Linked DNA regions of Oryzias latipes. The protein of the gene in region 3 purifies or fractionates together with the protein of the main gene of each other region. This does not show direct contact. Links are inferred from orthologs where the notes say so. Each region holds a gene or a part of one and is shown on either strand. Other genes may lie near its edges. The genes, in order: kif3b, kinesin-like protein KIF3C and kifap3.

Region 1 (6,493 bases), on a different chromosome or scaffold from region 3:
TGATCCATTTTCAAGGTGTTCCCAGTGGGCTTTAGATTATGATTATGCCCGGGGGGGGGGGGAGGGGGGGGGGGTGTAAGCCAAAAATCAAGGAACTCATCGTTTTCTCAAACATTTCTGCAGAGCGGCAGTAGTTCATTAGAAATTCGCCTCAGAGTTGTTGGCGAGTTAACCCCGCCGTGCCTTCCTGCCACCCATAACTGTGCTCTCCATTTAGCGCTCTCTTACTGGCTTACAGCCCCTCATATCCCCAACCTAAAAAACAACAAAAAAGAAAAAAAATATATTATATATATATATTATTATTATACATGTGCTCCATAATAAGAAAAATGCCACAAGAACATGTTTAAAACGCCAAAAACAATTTTCCTCGGAGTGGGTCTTTAGCCGTTTCCTCGCTGCAAACAACCTTCATTTCAGGTCAGACTTCTAAAATTCCCCACATAACAGTGTAAATATATATAATGGCATAACTTTAAAGTCACATACCTCCTCCCCACAAACTTTAAGCTTTTCCTGGCGCAGCAGATGAGTGAGTGTGGTCACATCAAGCTGGAGGAATCTGCTGGTCTTCCAGATCCTGGTAAAGTTGCGTCTGAGGATGCTCTCTGCTATGGCCTTCAGCCCCGGACAGTTTGCACGATCTGCAAGGACTGCAACATCTGCAACACAAGCAGGTCAGCAAACACGAGGACCACGAGACGGACGTTTCATTTCCTTTTACGTTACCCAGGCAGTTTGTTGCATCAATCTGTCTTTTGATGAATTCCACACAAACGTTCTTGATGGGATCGATTTGGAAAAAGTCCGCTGCGTACAGCAGAGCCTCCACGTTTTGGTTGTCCACCGAAACTCTGAAAGTAACATGGGTTCATGCTGCATCACAGTACCGACTTCTGCTCAGCAAAGCCACATGACTCACTGCGCCGTGTAAATGAAACCAATCACCAGCTGAAGAATGTCAGGGGAAACGTCCCTCAGCTCCACCTCATGAGTCCTAGACTCCACCATACTGGCTGAAGAGAGAAAAGAAAGCTTAGCTTCAGATCAAATCGACCAATATGGCTTTGCATTTTACTTACTGCTAAACAGAAGATGGAAGAAATGACTGGCTGCCGCCAGAATCCCTCTGTGAGCAGAGAACCGATTCCCCTGAACAACCAGGGTCACGTCGCAGAGCCTACCCTGCAGGAGGGGGCCGGCGCCACATGTCAGAACAAACGCCTTGTGTGCTGAAACACCAAAGTCCATCTTATTCTTACCTCTTTTCTAAAGCTGTTCATGGTTCTCACAACGCTGGACAGTTTGTAGGACTTTGAGTCGGACGTCCAAGTTCCTCCATTTCTGTTGGCGCTCTGAGAGGCCATCCTCGCCTCAGAAAGCTTTTCTGATTGGAAGAACGTGAGAGACGTAAAAATAAATGACTTCCAGTTAGAAAAGGTGCCTCTTTGATCTGAAAACATTTAAAAATCTAAACTGATGACAACCAACCAGTGACGTTTGTTCTTTAGAACCAAATTTATTTTTAACCAACAAGTTTGTCTAAAGTCAAAATTTACACCAACTTAATTTATAAAAAGAATTTACATTAATTTAATTAAAGAATTAAAAAAGAAAAAACTCAAATGTCAATATATCCAGCCAATACCAAAAAAAAAAAGAAACAAAAAAAGTCTCAAAATAAACGCGGAAGTTTGATGAAATTCAAAACAAAGATAAAGTATTAAAAATATATATTAAATGTAAACCTTAGCATTTACATAAAAAATATTTAAAGCTGAAATAAAAACAAAGGACTAGAATTACTTTAATAAAAATATGCTAATGTGTAAATAAGGCCAACTGAAACAAATCAAGCGTAATCAAGCAATAATCTAAATTACTTAGCAGAATTTAGCCAAATAATGACGAACAAATACTCAAAAGACATTTTTTTTTTTAAAGTCAGTAAAAGCACATTTGTTCATACTTCAGCAGTGCCTCGCGGAAGTTTAGTTAGTCGGTTGAGAACAGAAGTGAGCCTTGAGAAAAAAAACATCTGCTGTCCCTTCAAGCGGGAAACAAAAAAATCAACCGACGTGATGAGGTACACCTGTGTCCGTTAAAGTGAAAAGACGGCTAAAAATATTTTTTCTCTTTTTTTCTAAATCATTTTTCTAAATCATGCCGTTATCTCTAGGTTCTGTGAATGCCGGGGGGACTAAAACCTGTCATAAAACGTAAAAAAGAAGAAGAAGAAAACCACCACGCAGACTGAAAGAAAATCGCAAACCGGAAGTTTATTTTGAAAAGCTAGCTAATATGGACTGAACTGTAAACTGGAGCCAGTTGGAACGATTTCTAAACAGTAAGTGTAACCCTATTAACATCATAAATTAAAAACATTTGCCTTTTGATTTGTCTATATGCTCTGTAAATGTGTTCATCTTCAGTGAAGTTTAAAAAAAAAAAAGAATACCACAAAGCAGCACTTTGTTTTTATTTAAACAACTTTTTTTTGTTTTACTTACGCCACTCCAGTGTGGTGTTTTGTTTGTTCCATCGTGCAAGTGTTTTTTCCTTTCTTTTGGGCTTTTTAGGTAAAACCTGACAGATTAAAGGAAACACAGAAGAATGTGATTTGTTGCTATGGTAATGTGAGTAGGTAACAAATTAGTGAAATCAATAAATTAATTGTTTTTTTCCAGGTAAGAATGGCCGATTCTCTGAAATAAGTGCACTTTGTGTCCCACAGGTTTGTCTCAGAGATTTTTACATTAAAGTAAACCCCAAAGTGCATTTTAAAACAAGACATGGAAAGATCAATGTCTCTCTGCATTATCACAGACAAATATATTGTGAGAATTAGAAACATTTGATGGGTTGCCGAGGCAAAGGGGTCAGACAAACGAGCATGTCCCCACTGACCAAGGCTACGTTTTCACTAAATATAAAACAGATAATAGCCAATAACTGCAAGTTTTATTTTTCTAATGTAATTTTCTACTTTCACCTAAATATAAGTAATATAAGAAAAAATTTGCATCATTTTATGACACCTCTCAGTTTTGTTCAGCCCCATATGAAACGATATATGAAAGAGCCCTTTTTGTACTACATTTGAACCGTACCGTAATGATAAACAACCAGTAAACCTGTCTGCTCTATGCTGCTTCATGGTCTTACCCCCCTTCCCCTCCTATTATCACCCTCCTACCCCCCCCTCTCTCTAACGTCCCTCTCTCTTCTTCCCTTCTTTCCTTTTCCGTCCGGTCCAACACCAAAGATTTTCAAACATGATCTAGTTCTTTGTATGCAATGTTGGTGCTCGTTTGAAATTTATATTTTTAGTTTTGGGGCATTATCGGAGTGCAGCACGTGTTGATGCCATATTTTGTCACAACCAGAAAATAAAGAAAACCGCTCCAAGAAAGTTTCTCCGGTGTCTCGTGGCTTCCTGAGGGTGCTCAACATCACACAACGCAGAGCAGAGACCAGAAAACGGTTACACATGTATGACCCTCAATAATCTAGCTAATGTTTACATGAGGCTTCTATTAGCTAAAACTTTATAACTTTCAACCTCAAAACAAACAAAAAAAACCCTGTTACAGGGTTGAATCATTGTTACTGGGCTGAAGGTTCAACTTGGAATTTTTTTTTTTTTTTTATAAATCAAATGAAATTTACCTACAATAAGTAATATTGCACAAGGGACGTGATTACCACGGAACTGGAATAGTTTGTTTGAATAAGTTTAAACATAATAATCATCCTAAAGTTAGATTGTCATGCTACGGGGTTGAATTAAAAACAAACCAAATGATGACTTCATTTCTAATAATTTTTTGGGTTTCATCCCTATGGTGGGAAAACAAATTGTCTGAGAAGTTCAAATTGTCAGATGCAATGTTCAGAAACACAATTATTGTGGTTCATTTTGTTTTTAGAAACCGTTAACTGAAAGTTAAAGGAATTTGGACAATTACGGTAATCAAATAATGTATGAAAAATACATTTCTATCACATTTAAATGTGATTTCTGCTTTTAGATACTGTATTAAAAAAACATTTGGATCCTTGATCCATTGATGCTGTCTAAAAGTGGACAAGCGAAGAAGTTATTCAACAGGCAATTTACCCTAGATAAGGAAGAAATACAACCACTGCAGAGTTATTGTACGCCTCAATGACTGTATAAGAGAACTGGACTGAGTACGTGTGACGTCACCCATAGAAATTGCTTTACTTCTGGCTCCAGCAAAATGAAGCCAACTCAGTGGGCTTTTTCTTTTGCGATACGGACGTCGCCTTACTGGAGGCAAACGAGAGTAATTGGTCCAAAGAGTCAATGTTTCTATGGTAACTGCTGTCGCCAATCAGGAGTGAGCATGTTCGAAGTTCACACCCCTTGCAAACTGTCAAACGTTGGAGGGAGGGGCCAGTGGGCAACACATACTTTTACTGAGGCATTTGATTGGTCAGTTTACAACTTAAATGATTTCCTGTGGGAAAAAAAAAAAAGATTGGAAGGAACTACAATAGTTATTCTGACAAATAGAATGACTGAGTCATATCTGCTTAGTTAGGGCGTTTTGGCTTTTTGGAGCCTGTAAATGACCCATTTTAATTGTTTTCTTATTACCAGTATTGTTTAACATTTCCTTTGATTGAAGATGCCTTTTATTTCAAAAGAAGTATGCTGAAGATGTAAAAGAACATTATAAAAACAGTATTGTTTGCAGAGTGTATTTTGTTTTGAAAACTTTTATTGTGAAGGTTCCACCTACTTCTGCTTTTTCTGTGAAGTGCGTCAGTTCAACAGAAACAAAAAAAAACGGTTAACAGCTGATGCTACGGCAACAAAGCAAACAGACAAATAACAGACGGATAACTGTCTAAAGCTATCATTTGTTTTTGGCATCTAGCTGGAAGGCGAACAGGTATGATTTTTGGTTCTGTTTACTCTGTATACATTTTGTGATTATTTTCAATTGGTTTTATGTAAAATAACAAAAAATGTTTCTGTTTGAAGTTATTCAACAATCTAACGCTACTAGCTGAGGTAAAGAATGGTTGTAAATCAAAAAGGAATTATTGTAAGTTTGTTGTTTTGATTTTCTTCAGCTCTTACGGTGTGACTATGACGGTGGCGTAAATAAATGGGTTGGAATACCCCAGGCACTTTCTATTTTAGAATGTGAGGGGCGAGTATTCGCCTGTGGCCCCCGACTTGCTAGGTCCGCCCCTGGCTCAATCCCTTTAACCGTAACTACGCGAGTAGACGCGCAGCGCCGCTGGCGGCTCGTTCAGCCGCTCATGAAACGGACTTTTCCCCTCATTGATGGTAGTTAGGATCTAGTTTCTATTTATTGAGGGAAAAACAACGCGACGTTTCTTGTGATTTGTGAGGCTGCAGTGGTTATCGGGCGGGTTCAGACGTTAAGCTCTCCTCGGTGATCGTTGTCCGTTGGGGTGTTCCGTTTGTTAGCCGGCGGATGCTACCAGATTTGTAGCTTAGGTGACCGGTGTGTTTGCCGTTGCCAGGCCGGTGTTGTTTGTTACCGAACGCGCTAACGCCTCGCTCAGTCCGGGTTCGGGTCGGTCACACCGGGCTCGGTTCGCGGCTCTGTGCCACCGAAGGCTTTTATTAGCCTCAGCTTTTCCAATTAAGAAGCCAAACAGGAACAGCTAAGCTGAGGTCGGTATCTTTCTTTCCACTGCACCGATCCAACACACATTTAGTTTTTTCAGGGAGCTGATTTCCAACTCAGTTTTTGTGTTTTTCCTGCTCTATTAAAGTATTTAAAGATTGGAAGAGATTCGAGTCACTGTTAAAAAAAAAAAAAAACAGAAGACTAAAAAATATATAACTTTTAAGAAAAAAAACATACCTTTTTCAGTGTTGTTTTTTTGTGTGCCTAGTTATAAATAACTTGTATAAAATTGCAGTTATGTCCGGTAGGGAGGCAAAAATTAATTGATGATGAATTAATTGATGTTTTTAATCAAATCCAAATATACCATTAAGAAAAAAAAACAAAATTAGATCAATTGATAATCTATATTGGTAAATACCATTTGGATTGAGGTGTGGTAGGTTTCTTTTTATACAATACCAGATATAGAAAACATCCCCTGCAGTGTTCAGTACCCAGGCTTTTATCTCAGCTATTTAACACTTTGGCTAAAGTAGTCCCAGATCGATCAGAGGTCAATAAATCGGAACGTTCCAAATGAATCGATATCGACTTTAAAGTGTATCAGTGGCCACAAATCATTGTTAAAATGAATCGTTACACCCCTAACGTCTGGTTGTCCATCCATCTTTCAGGTCGGGGCTTCGTTTCCTGAACCTGCATCGGTTTTGAGGTTTGGTTGGGCTGGCCGCTGATCGTCGCCATGTCCAAGAGCAAGAGCCCCGAGTCGGTCAAGGTGGTGGTTCGCTGCCGCCCCATGAATGAGAAAGAGCGGGCGGCGGGCTTTGAACGGGTGGTCTCCCTTGATGTCA
Region 2 (5,799 bases), on a different chromosome or scaffold from region 3:
GAAGTGTAAACAAATGAATGATGTGTGCAGGCTATTCTGGGCCAACAGCCCCGCCCACAACTCAGAGGAGACTTTCTAAAAAACTCCTGCTGGTCTGCAGAGTCTACGTCCTAGAAAATGAGGCAGATTTCTTTCTTTTTGGGCTAAAAACAACATCATCATAATTTAAAAACCACTGGGAAGGATTTTACAATAGATCAAAAGATGATCGGATGGAGACTTTAAATAAAAAAAACTAGGAGAAAATGCTAAATATGTATGAAAAAAGTGCCTAAACTTTAAAATAATTCAATGTAATCGTTTTTGTGTTAAATTGTTTTGAAGTAAAAACCACTTCAAGACAAAAAAATGACAAAAATATTTACATATGTATGCCTGTTCTGCAGCTTTGCAAGCAGGTTTTCTTTTCATTCATAGATTCATTTAAAAAAGTTTCAATCAAGGGCTTCCAGGTGAGTTAAAAGCCACGTTAAAGCGGTGAAAGTCCACATGCGGGCTCACCAGGAGCTGGACTTGTGAATGTCTCTGTTCTTGGTGGGAGAGTTTTCCTGTGAGGGAGTTTGGTTTGTGGCCGCCTCCGCTAAGCAGTCCAGGGAGGACGGGTTTGGAGGACACATGTCCAGCTCCAGAAACATGATGTTTTCCGCCTGCAGAGGAGAGCACACAGACATGACATCACAGCAGCTGTCAGCAGTCAGGTTCTTCATAATTTACAACAAACATTTAAGGATTTCTCTTAGTATTGATGGTTCTTTGAGCATAAACTGAACACTTTTTGTTAATTAATATAAAAGGTGGCATAATCAGCAGATGACTAGACAATTATTTTGACCATAGATCCAAAGATTTTTACATTTTTTACAGGTAAAATTTAATTTTATTCATTTTTTCTTTTGGTGAAGATTTTTTTTTAGAAAATACCATTAAAATAATGTTAAATAAATACATTTTCTTAAATGGAAAGAAATAAAGAATAAGATTAATTAAAAAATATAAAAGGTGTAGTCATCTTTTTAAAGAAAGATAACATATTTGATCAAAAATTGAACAATGCAGAAGCAAAAACATATTTTTGTTTGACATTTGACATTAACTTAACATTCATTTTCCACATTTACTCTGATAAATAATAAGATACCTCACCACTATAAACAGATTTATGTTTTCATAGCACTGATTACAAAAAAAGCTCACCCTGAATCTGGAATGAGCTCCCATCGCTATGGCAACCCTAGCATACTGACTGATGGGTCGTTTGTATCCGACTGCAGATGTCGGCCTTTTCTTCATCTGTGAGAATTTACTGTAAAGGCAGAAGTTCCATCAGTGAATCACTAATTATGGCTTTAAGGGAGACTGTTTGAGATGAGAAAGATGAGAGAGGAAGAGCGTACTCCTGAAAACCATCACATGAAAGCATCACCGACCTCTGAGCGGGAACGAGAGGCTGGAAATTCCACTGATCCTCCTCTGGGTCGAAGGTCAGCCTGTTCATGATCTTATTCTTCTCCTCCGGAGGAATAAAATTCTCAATGATGAGATACCTGTGCAGACATGATGCAGCTTTAATGTGGCGAGACAGCAGCCTAAAAATATCAAACCAAAGAGCAGCATAGAGACAAACAGATGAATTATGAAGAATAGAATAAACTAAATATTGAGTTTGCTTACGGTACTAAATGTTAGTTGATGAATGTAACATTTATAAATACGTGAATGAAAATGTGAAAATATGTATCGGAAAAATGAAACCTGGTTTTTTTCTTCTAAAACAGGCTAAATAACCAAAAATATTGCTGGTTAGCACTCTTGCCTCACAGCAAGAATGTCCCCGGTTCAAGTCCCGCCAGGGGGACCTGAAACAGAATGGGGGACGTTGCATGTTTCTCTCCCTGCATGCGTTGGTTTTCTCCGGGGTTCATTGATTACCCTAAATTGTTCCTAGGTGTGAGTGTGTGATTTATGTGGACTGTCCCCTGCCTTCGCCCAAGAGTGGCTCCAGCGGCTACGGGACCCCGAAAGGGACAAAACAGGTTTAAGAGATGAATGAATGTTTTGCTGTTAATATCTGACTTTGTCACTTTACAAAAGGCAGCCCATAGCCCCACCCCTTCACGTTTGGTATGATTGAAAAGCCCAAAATGTCCTCTGTAGATACCAAAAGGAGTTCATTCAGTGGTATGCAGTTGTTGGGAGGGATTCATGTTTAGAAATATCCTCCACACCAGGGGTCCCCCAAATCCAGGCCAGTGTCCGACATGTTTTCTAACCCACCGGCTACTGAAGCTCCTTGTTGGCTAAACACCCCTGATCCAGGTAATCAGCAGCAAATAGGGCAGTGATTCTGGAAAACAGGACACCGGCCCTCAAGGCCTGGATTTGGGGACCCCTGCTCTGCACAGAACAGATTTACACTGCTGTGTGTGAGGTGAGAGAGCAGGTGGAAGAAGATAAACCGAGAAGCTGAGACGTGCTGGTGCCTGCACTTCCTCGGGACGCTGTTGTGACTCACTTGAACTTGAGCTCTCTGGTCAGCTCGTTTTGAGTCTGCTCCAGCTCCTGCCGGCTCCCCACATGCTCGTCGTTCATGTCCTTGATTTCCGCCTTGATGCACTGCAGCTTGGAGTACAGCTGCAGGAACACAAACAGTCAGCGGCTGAGAGGAGCCAAGCTTCTCAGTTTGGGGTATCTGCTGGTGCACTCGTCTCCAGATTGCAGCAGCTTGGTTGCCCATAGCAACAGCACTGGGGGCACTGGTATCTGGAGAGCTGGCCAGCCAATGGGAGCACGCCAAGTCCGCCCCCCACCCTCAATTTGGTTCATTCCTCTACTTCTCTGCTGCACCCCTTAGCCCCCACATTGTTCTGTATAACTTCAGCCTGAAAATCAGCCGCTCAGCCTGACTTTTAACCCCGAAACTGCAGTGAAGATGCATTTTATTGCAATGTGGACGACATTCTGCAAATATTTTAAACACAAAAACACTGAAAATAGAGATTTTCATGTAAACAAACCACAACGCGAGTCACTGAGTCGAGTGAAAGGATGTGTACACATCTGTTGGACTCACACATATGACCTCAAAGGAGTCAAACAGATGTGTAATTTAGATTTTTTTGTCTGAAATATGTTAGAACACAAATTTATCATGGTAAATTTTCAGACTTTGATACAGTATTTGCCTTAGTCTTCTACTTTACAAATCTCTTAAAGTTTTTAAAGCAAATTTTGAATTTTACTTAGGTATTTTAAATAAACATTGTGTAATTAGATTTTTTAAAACAGTTTTGTCAAAGTTGAGTTTTCATAGATGATCCTAAAATGTTCTGTGAAAGACGTACATTTTCTGTTATAATGCTTTGTGTGGTGGTCACTTAATTTTGTCTTCTAAATATCTTCAAGTTTCTCCAGCGAACTGAGCATTAAATTAGTATTTCAGTATTAAATTAGTATTTTAGCATTGCTGCCTCTTGTACAAACTATTTTAAGCTGACCATAAGTAAACAAAGCAGATATATAACTTTTTGAAAAAGATCTTGTTCACTGTTTTTTCCCCTATTTTTACTTTTTATGTTGCCATACAGTGGGGAAAAAAAGTATTTAGTCAGTCACCGATTGTGCAAGTTCTCCCACTTAAAAAGATGGGAGAGGCCTGTAATTTTCATCATAGCTTTACAGACCATAAAAACAAAGACGCACGTGGATCTATTTATTCTTTTTTTGTGGCCCGCCGAGAGTATTGTCTACGTAGCAAATACTATCTTATTCAAACAGTATTTTGTTGTCTGCTGATTCTGGTTCTGAAAATATCTGATCCTTATTCACAAGATTTGAACAAAGAAATACTCACAAATGCTATTTTAGGCCTAATTATCTTTAAATATCTCCTCCATCATGAGAAAAATGCCACAAGAACAAGATAAACACCAAAAACACAATTTTCAACTGAGTGGGTCTTTCATTCAGTATTTTAGTCTTTTTTCACACTGCTAGGAATAAATACTCTTTATGTAAACGAAGATCACAACTTTTCCAAAATAATATGAAATGGAGATAAAGCCAAGGACTCAGCCATAGGAAGTAAATACTTTTCCACACACTGCTTCTTCATTTTGGTTCAATTTATGTGAAACTGGTCATTTAAAGTAAATGTAAATATTGTCATCTAATGTGAATGTAATTTTTCTAAAAAATAGGTTACTTTATTGTTAGGAATAATTAGAAACAGAATAGTTAGAAACTCACTTTTACTTTTTATTACACTGATGGTTTAAACTTTGATTCACTATGTATTATCATCTCAAAATTATATTACAAGGCACAATCAAGACTATTGTCTCGTAACATTCCTTCAGCATCCTCCCCTTCCATCTTTGTGTGTGCTGGTGTGTGCGCTCTGCTAAATGTCTGTGATAACCTCAGAGAGATCTGACACTTTAAGCTCTCTGACCTTCGAACATCTAGCCTGCAACTGGGGGTGGATTTTTCACACCACCATCCATCGGATGATGTTCTGAATATGCAAATGCAGGACTTATATACCAAGCCCATTTTCCTGTTTTCTTTGTTCAGACTTTGAGCTCCGTTGTTCGGACTTTGATGCAGTAACCTGTTCATCTGTCTGTAACCCTTTGTACAAATCTGTGCCTTTTGTGCGGAGTAAATCTTCACTGAAGCTAAGTATTGTCTCTGAGTCATTATTCATTCATTTCTGTGTTCAAGAAATTGACAGGGTACGGACCTAATAATTTTATCAATACAGTCCAATCTAGCAGAGCCAGTTTCTTCACACTTATTTTGAAAGCTAGTAGACCCACCTTCTTGAGCTTTTTGGTCTTTGCCTCAACTTCCTGTTGTAGAGACGTGAACGTCTCCCTGAGCTCCACCGTCTCCTCATCCTGGACCAGCATCTGCTGCTGGATTTCCCTCTCCTTGCGAGTCTGACAACATAAAGTCCATCTTTAACAGCAGACTTTGTTTTCGAACGCACATGAGAAGGGATTTTAAGGGTGAGCACAGTTTCTTTACCTGCTCTGCAATCTCCTGCCTCTTCACCTCCAGCATCTTCTGTTGCTCGTTGGTGTGATCCATGATGTTCTTACCACCAACTAGAAGCTTGCTCTCCATCGCCTGAGAACAGAACCCATTATCAGTGTACGTTTTTAGAAACCAGCTGGCAAAACGTAAGATGAGAAGGCTGACTTCCAGGAACTGGAAAGGTGAGGCAAACTTTAGAATGAGCTAAAAACAAATAAGTTTCCAAAAGTACAAAGTCCCCAATCTGATCATCTTTTGATCTACTTTCAAAGTGTTCCCAGTGGTCTGTTCATTATGATTATACCACTTTTGGCCCAAATCAAAAACCTGTGTCGTTTTCTAGGACATAGTTTCTGCAGAACAGCAGTAGGTCATTAGCAATTCACCTCAGAGTTGTGGGCTCTTGGCAGGGAAAAACCCCTTCCCCAGAAAAGGTAGGAACTACGGGACATCACTGATTGGATAATGACGTTTGGAGTTTTTTCAAATGCATCTTATGCAAATTAATAAAGGTTTTATGATTGGTGGGCCCTGCGACAGGCTGGGGACCTGTCCGGGATGTACCCTGACTTTGCCCCGCAGTAGCCGGGTTGGGCTCTACCAGTCCTGTGAACTGGAAAGTGATATATTATGTTAAGTACATGGATGGAAGGATATTTAAATACATTGCTTTATGCCAATTTCCTCGCATTTAAAATGATGGACAAATGTCATCATCCAATCAGTGATGTCCCATAGTACCTACCTTTTACATTTTCTTAT
Region 3 (6,342 bases):
GCCCCAGCAGAAGACAAATAAAAAGCTTCAATTCTGACTCAAGAAATTGCTGTGGAGAAACAAAATGAGATAAACTTGACCTGCCACCCAGTCGCCTACAGACACACAGCATGGGAAACAAGTCACGAAAACTTAGATGTTTGATCAAAAAGTTTTGACTAATACAAATCAATAAATCCTCTCAGGACAGATGTGTCACTCAGATTTAAAAAATGTGCTTAAAAATGACTACCCTGCCAAAAGATTATTGATTGAAACTTAATAGCAACTAACAAATATTGTTTTGATTGTTCTTTCAGGTCCTTCCCACTTTGCTGGTGTACAAATCTGGTGAATTACTGGGTAATTTCTTGTCTATTACCAAACACTTCAATGAAGAGTTCTTCGCGACAGATGTGGAGGCGTTTCTCAATGAATATGGCCTCTTACCTGAGAAAGAGTTCGCTGCATGTGCGGACGAGGAAGATGATGCTGCGAATGTGGAGTAAAAAAAAGGGGGAGGCAGATCAAACTCATTTTTATTAAAAGAGTGGGGGAAAAGAGATTTGAAGAGAGGGGTTGATGGATGGATGGATGGATGGATGAATGGATGTTGACAGTGTTTAAGTCAGAACACTCACAATCAAAAGAGTCAAAGTACAGAATAGTTAACATCCAACAGAACATGCTGGACAGCAGTTGTATTTAGGGGCAACTAGGAGTAAATCCTCAAGTGTGGGGCAGCCTGTATGAAAACACTGCTTTAAAGTCATATCATAGCTCACCAATAAATTGTCTTGACCAGAGTTTCTTTGTCTGTCTTTCTGTGTGGCATTGTGTGGAGGGATGATTCTTTTTGTCTTTTTTCTCACTTTTTCATACCAAAACTAGTCAAATCATTAATCGGTGCTCGCTAAAAGGACAAAAAGCCCTATAACAATCAAGTGGGACTTGTCTGCATGTTTAGTTTAGCTTAATGAGTCTTATAGTCTGAAAAGTATATTCCTTTTTAAAATTAAAATAGTTTTATTTTTCTTCAACCAAAGAGCCACAATAGAGGCTTTAAAGAGCCACTTGTGACTCCACAGCCTCAGGTCACTGTCACTTTAGGAGCTTGTGGTATATCTGGAACAAAAGGAGGAACTTGGTTGGAACATGTGCACTTGGTTCAGCAGCTGCACAGGGGCTCAAAGAAAAGCTCTCCAACGGTCATCAGCACCGCCCAAAAGATTGTTGACTGCTCTCTCCCCACCTGGAAACTCTCCACAGCTCCAGCTGCCTCAACAGAGCGCAGAATATCTTTAGAGACACATCACACCCCAGACATATTAAGTTCTGTTTGTGCCAAAAATATATGGGTCAAGCAGAGTAAGGACAAAAAGACTCTAATACAGTTTTTACATAATCCATAAAAATGTTAAATGTGGCTAGGAAACATTTAAGCTGGACTTCCGCTAAATTGTGATACAACGGACATTTTCTTCTTCATTATTATTATTATTATTATTATTATTATTATCTGAGTTTAACACATATTGACTATCATGTTTTTTTTTAGCAGTAGTCCATATAAAGCAACAAATTGGTTTAATTTCAAGTTTTAAGCACTGCCCAATGTACTTCTATGTTTTACTTTTTATTTTAAGTGGTAGGTCTTTACCATGGGTTGTTTTTAAGGTATGACAATTAATGATAAAGATCTATCTATCTATCTATCTATCTATCTATCTATCTATCTATCTATCTATCTATCTATCTATCTATCTATCTATCTATCTATCTATCTATCTATCTATCTATCTATCTATCTATCTATCTATCTATCTATCTATCTATCTATCTATCTATCTATCTATCAAAGCACAGTATAACATATAGGGGGGATTTAATGAGACTGAACAAAGTATTGTATCTTACAATTAAATTTGCGACAGCGGCTCGAATTATTTTAAAAAGCTCTCCTTTACTGACTCAAGTTGTGTTGTGGACATTAAACTGTGCCCTATACAATTGTATGTGTAAATTGTATTATTACACATTACTTTCTGCTTCTGATCGTATTTCTTTTCCAGCTGTGAGGATTTGGATTTGAAATGTTGCCTTAAAGTCATTACTTAGGGTCTACATTCCCCCTGTAAGTTATAACTCAGGGCACCATTTGCCCACCGACGGCTAACCCTCTAGCTTTGTATTATTGTATTAACTGCCGCTATCATTGACAGTCTGTGACGGGCAACCGCTGTGATTTCGGAGTAAGCTCAATCAGATGTGATACAACTATAGAAATAATAAAAGGGTAAATTAACATTTACAAGAAAATGCAGGAAGACACGCGCTGCCTCAAACGGTGAGTTAGAATGAATGAGTTATTTTTTGTCGATCGATCATCGACCAAGGCCTAGAAGAAAGAAGACGAGCTCTGTAATATTTAAATGAAAAAGTGATTGATTAATTATATCAGCAAGTATTTGTTTTTTGTAATTCGCAAGAGTCGTCACTTCACGAAAGACTATAGCCTAGCAAACACGTTTATATTTTGCTTAATGGGTACGGAGAGAAAGGCGTGCTGTTATTTATTTGCTTTCTTTTTGTTAAATGTACACCACATCTCGCAATTAAAGATGACTGTCGCTGCTTTGCACAAAACAACAACAAAACGCATGTTAAATTGTTACCTGAGGGTTTTTTTTTTTAATGAAGGGGCTTATGGGAAATCAGGGGGTTGCTAGCCTAGCTAATGAGCTAAACATGGAGAGACTAGTTTAAACGGCAACAGATAATATGTATTGTTTTACTGCTTCAACAGCTGGTTGTTGGTTTTCAGTCATAAGACAGTCAGCGTCCGCGAGTGTTTGTGATACACGTCGACGATGGAGATTCCAATAGGCCATCCTTTTCCCGTTGTCCAGCAATGTACGACAAGATTGACATCATCATATTGGGAGGGGCAGTAAATAACGACACATGGCTTTGCAGATACAAAATAAGACCCAGGCCGTGGTATCATGGCCCGTCCTGCTATCCCCACTGCCAAAGTGGAACAGCAACAGCCACATGAAACAGTGGTTCCACAGGAAACACAAAGTAAAACATTGGAGTTTTGGATAATTGGGTCTGGAAAGTATCACTGCCCAGCTGGGGTCAGCAACTTTCCTGTTGGCCGAGCGATGGATCAAGGTGGCATGCTAATGGTTCAAGTCTTTTTTCAATGATCATTTGGAACCATCTCCCTTCAGTCTCCCTGCAGTGGAACTGCAGTGGATCCATCCACTACTACCACACTCACCCCGCCCGGTTTGTGTTTCTGTTCGCAGGGCTCTCTACCTACTAGGGGTGTAACGATTCATTTGAACAATTCGATTCGGTATTTTTGCCAATCGATTTCAATTTGGCTTCATTTTGAACAATTTGATTCAATGTTATTCACTGACCTAAAATCAATCCAGAACATCTTCAGCTAACATTTCAACCAGTGTGACTCAGAGAGAAGCACCTGGTACTGAGCAGTGAAGGGGGGCATTCCAGAAAGCAGGTTATGCGAGTTACCACGGTAAGTTTGAGGCTAAGGAAGCGGATAACCTCATCTTTCAGTTCCAAAAATGGAGGTATGTTTCAGGGTATGTCAAGTTGCCATAGCAACTCTTGCTCTGAACATAACCTGGTCTGGAGCTGGTTTAGTTGAAGGTTACTTTGTTTTCAGAGAGGTGAAGGAGCATGGCGAGTCCATTTGAAGATGATTTAGTGGATGAAGAAGCTCAGATAATACTTTTTCCACCATGAGAGGGCGATAAGACCATGTATGGATGTTCAAGATTCATGATTTGTTTTATTGTCATTCCACATATAGTATTTGCAGAGAAATACACAGATGAGACGAGATGTTGTTTCTCACTAGCATGACAGTGCAAGAAAGCAGCAATAATAAAAAATAGCAATAAAATAACAATCCAAGACTGGAAAAAAAACAATGAAATGAAATTAATAAAAAAGGAAAGATAAACTTTTTTACATTGATCTAACTTAATTATTTGCTTCAGTTAAGATAAATCTTTTTTTTAGTTAAGGCTGCTTAAAAATAACACGTAGTTATCAGACTTTTATTTTACTTTCATTCAATTTAATTCAATTAAGTAGATGTAACTTTGATGCTGCTGTTAGAGCGGCACCGCAAGGGATTGTGGGATACCATTTCCTTTGCCTGTCTGGACGGATTTGGTTTTAAGTGTGGGTTTTTGACCAAGGCTGTTTATTTGTTTAGCTGTTTTACTGTGTTTTGCCTAGTTATTATGTCCTACTATGGTTAAGTCTCTGCACCATGAGTGAGAGGGAGGGAGAGGATGATGAGTTTATTTGTTCTCTGTCATTAAAGATTATAATTATGTGTTTGTTTTTTTCACAAGACATTTTAGACTGTTAACATTTTGACCTCATATTTGTTCAATTTTGATCCCCAGCAAAGTGACGTTAGGGAGTCTGGATGTCCATCCCACAGAGAAGGCTCTGGTTGTTCACTACGAGGTTCAGGCTGCTGTCTTAGGAGGTGGTGGAGGTCCTGTGCTTGGTGAACGCAAAGAAGGACAAAAAATGTATGTTTCTTGTTATCTTTCCTATATTTAAATCAAACGGATTGATTAACTTGTTAAGTTAGTTTGGATTTGTTTAAAAGTTGTATCCACCAAAACTGGATTAGCATTGTTATACATTTTTGCAATGATTAACAATGAAAAATTAGCTACTTCTAAATGCATCAGCCTCTACATTCTCCAAATGGAAATAATAGATGGAGTCAGTTATTTGTGATGCTTCAATGTTTGCCCTTCTCTCCATTTAGAATCCGTTTGAAGAGCCTCTCTCCTACCACAGATGTGGCAGCGTTGGCTAAGAAAGTGGTGGAGGAGTGCAAACTCCTCCCTGCCTCCCGTTTGCCACAAGTGGAGCAGCTCCTCTACTACCTGCAGAACAGAAAGTCCTCCCCGGTGGAGGGTAAAGGTCAGACATTTAGGCCGAGCACGTTCTAGGAGATGCTTTTAGTTTCTTTTTGTTTGCAAACACTTCAGGTTCTCAAGCTCATAATTTGTACAGAAAAATGGTTTCAGGGTTTGAACGTTTTAAACGTAATATGCCAAAATAGAAATAGGCTTTATGATTCAGTGATGTTCTCGTTATGGTACTAAACAAACTTTTTGTAAAATAATAACATAAACTGTTGAAAAAATTAGCTTTTTTTAAAAAAACTATAATGATTTATTGTATATGAATGTGTTTTTATTATTACCAGTGGAAAGGAAAGAGAAAAGACAAGTGAAGCCCAAAGATCTGACACCATTTGAAGGACTGGAGGTAAAGACTTCATTCAACACAGCAAACAGATGAAATCCTTATCTGTTAAAGTGCTTTTTCCTTTTAAAGTCAACCACATTTTGTTTGCCTTTTTTTGTCTTTCTAGTTAAATGAAGAAGCTAGTATAACTAAAATAGATGAGTACGTGGAGCTGCTCTATGAAGGCATCCCAGAAAAGATCCGAGCATCTGCTCTCATTCTGCAGCTGGCCCGTAACCCCGACAACCTGGAGGAACTCCTGCACAATGGCATGAAGTCAATTTACTTTCTTGTTGTGTTCAGTCTAAGCGTGAAATGTATTTACTGTATACAGACGGAAACTTTCTTCAGTTATTCAGTTACAAAAATGCATTTTAATACATAATTACTTATGCACCAGCCAAATCGTTTTTGCATCCCAAACAATCAGTGACAATCATCACACTGCATACTCTTCAACGTAGATAGGGTGGGTAGAAACAGTGTTTTTAAAATCCCACACAGAACATCTTTTAAACGTGTTCCCAGTGGTCTTTTGATTATGACTATAACATTTTTCACCTACAAGCTTTTTCCAACGGCATATTTTTTTGTCTGCTCCAAAAAAACAAACTCAAAAATGCAATTTTAAACTTAATTTTCTGTGCAAATGTCCTCTATCATCAGCAAAATGCTCCAAGAACATGTTAAGAATAGCAAAAACTGTTGTGCAGGTGCGTTTTTGTCTGCATATTTGCAATGTACTTATATTTTATTGTCCTCCCACATAAAAAAGTGGAAAGTACATGTTTGCTGATTTCCCTCCATGCCTCATGTTCTTGTTCATGATCTTCAGTTTCTGACGTAGCATAGAAAATAGCTTGTTCTCCTCAGATTTCTAATTTCGAGCCAAGATTCTCACAACTTTAGAAGTCCTTATTTATCACAGGCGCTACAATCTTCTGCACACAAATAATCTAATCACAACATGACTATGCATTTACAGAAGCAGCTCTTGGCGCCCTGGCTAGAATCCTGAGAGAAGACTGGAAACAGAGTGTGGAC

What was found.
Region 1: the proteins of kifap3 (region 3) and kif3b purify together in Homo sapiens (co-immunoprecipitation; 7 studies listed by BioGRID and IntAct, counting the BioPlex papers as one, with this or other methods). This does not show direct contact. The link is inferred for Oryzias latipes from reciprocal best matches to the Homo sapiens genes KIFAP3 and KIF3B.
Region 2: the proteins of kifap3 (region 3) and kinesin-like protein KIF3C purify together in Homo sapiens (co-immunoprecipitation; 3 studies listed by BioGRID and IntAct, counting the BioPlex papers as one, with this or other methods). This does not show direct contact. The link is inferred for Oryzias latipes from reciprocal best matches to the Homo sapiens genes KIFAP3 and KIF3C.

Annotation. Positions count from the first base shown.
Region 1 is NC_019865.2:5,042,908-5,049,400, reverse strand, and holds the start of kif3b (kinesin-like protein KIF3B), read left to right. Parts: upstream 1-2,263; 5' UTR 2,264-2,350; intron 2,351-4,822; exon of another isoform or gene 4,823-4,925; intron 4,926-5,232; exon of another isoform or gene 5,233-5,683; intron 5,684-6,316; 5' UTR 6,317-6,384; coding exon 6,385-6,493. Other genes in the region: kelch-like protein 7, read right to left, coding at 493-665, 733-857, 926-1,019, 1,086-1,188, 1,266-1,370. UniProt on the Homo sapiens protein: Microtubule-based molecular motor that transport intracellular cargos, such as vesicles, organelles and protein complexes. Uses ATP hydrolysis to generate force to bind and move along the microtubule. Plays a role in cilia formation.
Region 2 is NC_019882.2:17,758,123-17,763,921, reverse strand, and holds part of kinesin-like protein KIF3C, read right to left. Parts: intron 5,131-5,799; coding exon 5,029-5,130; intron 4,941-5,028; coding exon 4,818-4,940; intron 2,632-4,817; coding exon 2,513-2,631; intron 1,545-2,512; coding exon 1,428-1,544; intron 1,304-1,427; coding exon 1,195-1,303; intron 648-1,194; coding exon 502-647; intron 1-501.
Region 3 is NC_019875.2:21,193,897-21,200,238, reverse strand, and holds the start of kifap3 (kinesin-associated protein 3), read left to right. Parts: upstream 1-2,132; 5' UTR 2,133-2,297; coding exon 2,298-2,326; intron 2,327-4,433; coding exon 4,434-4,565; intron 4,566-4,810; coding exon 4,811-4,968; intron 4,969-5,257; coding exon 5,258-5,319; intron 5,320-5,425; coding exon 5,426-5,567; intron 5,568-6,283; coding exon 6,284-6,342. Other genes in the region: rod type phosducin, read left to right, coding at 300-488. UniProt on the Homo sapiens protein: Involved in tethering the chromosomes to the spindle pole and in chromosome movement. Binds to the tail domain of the KIF3A/KIF3B heterodimer to form a heterotrimeric KIF3 complex and may regulate the membrane binding of this complex.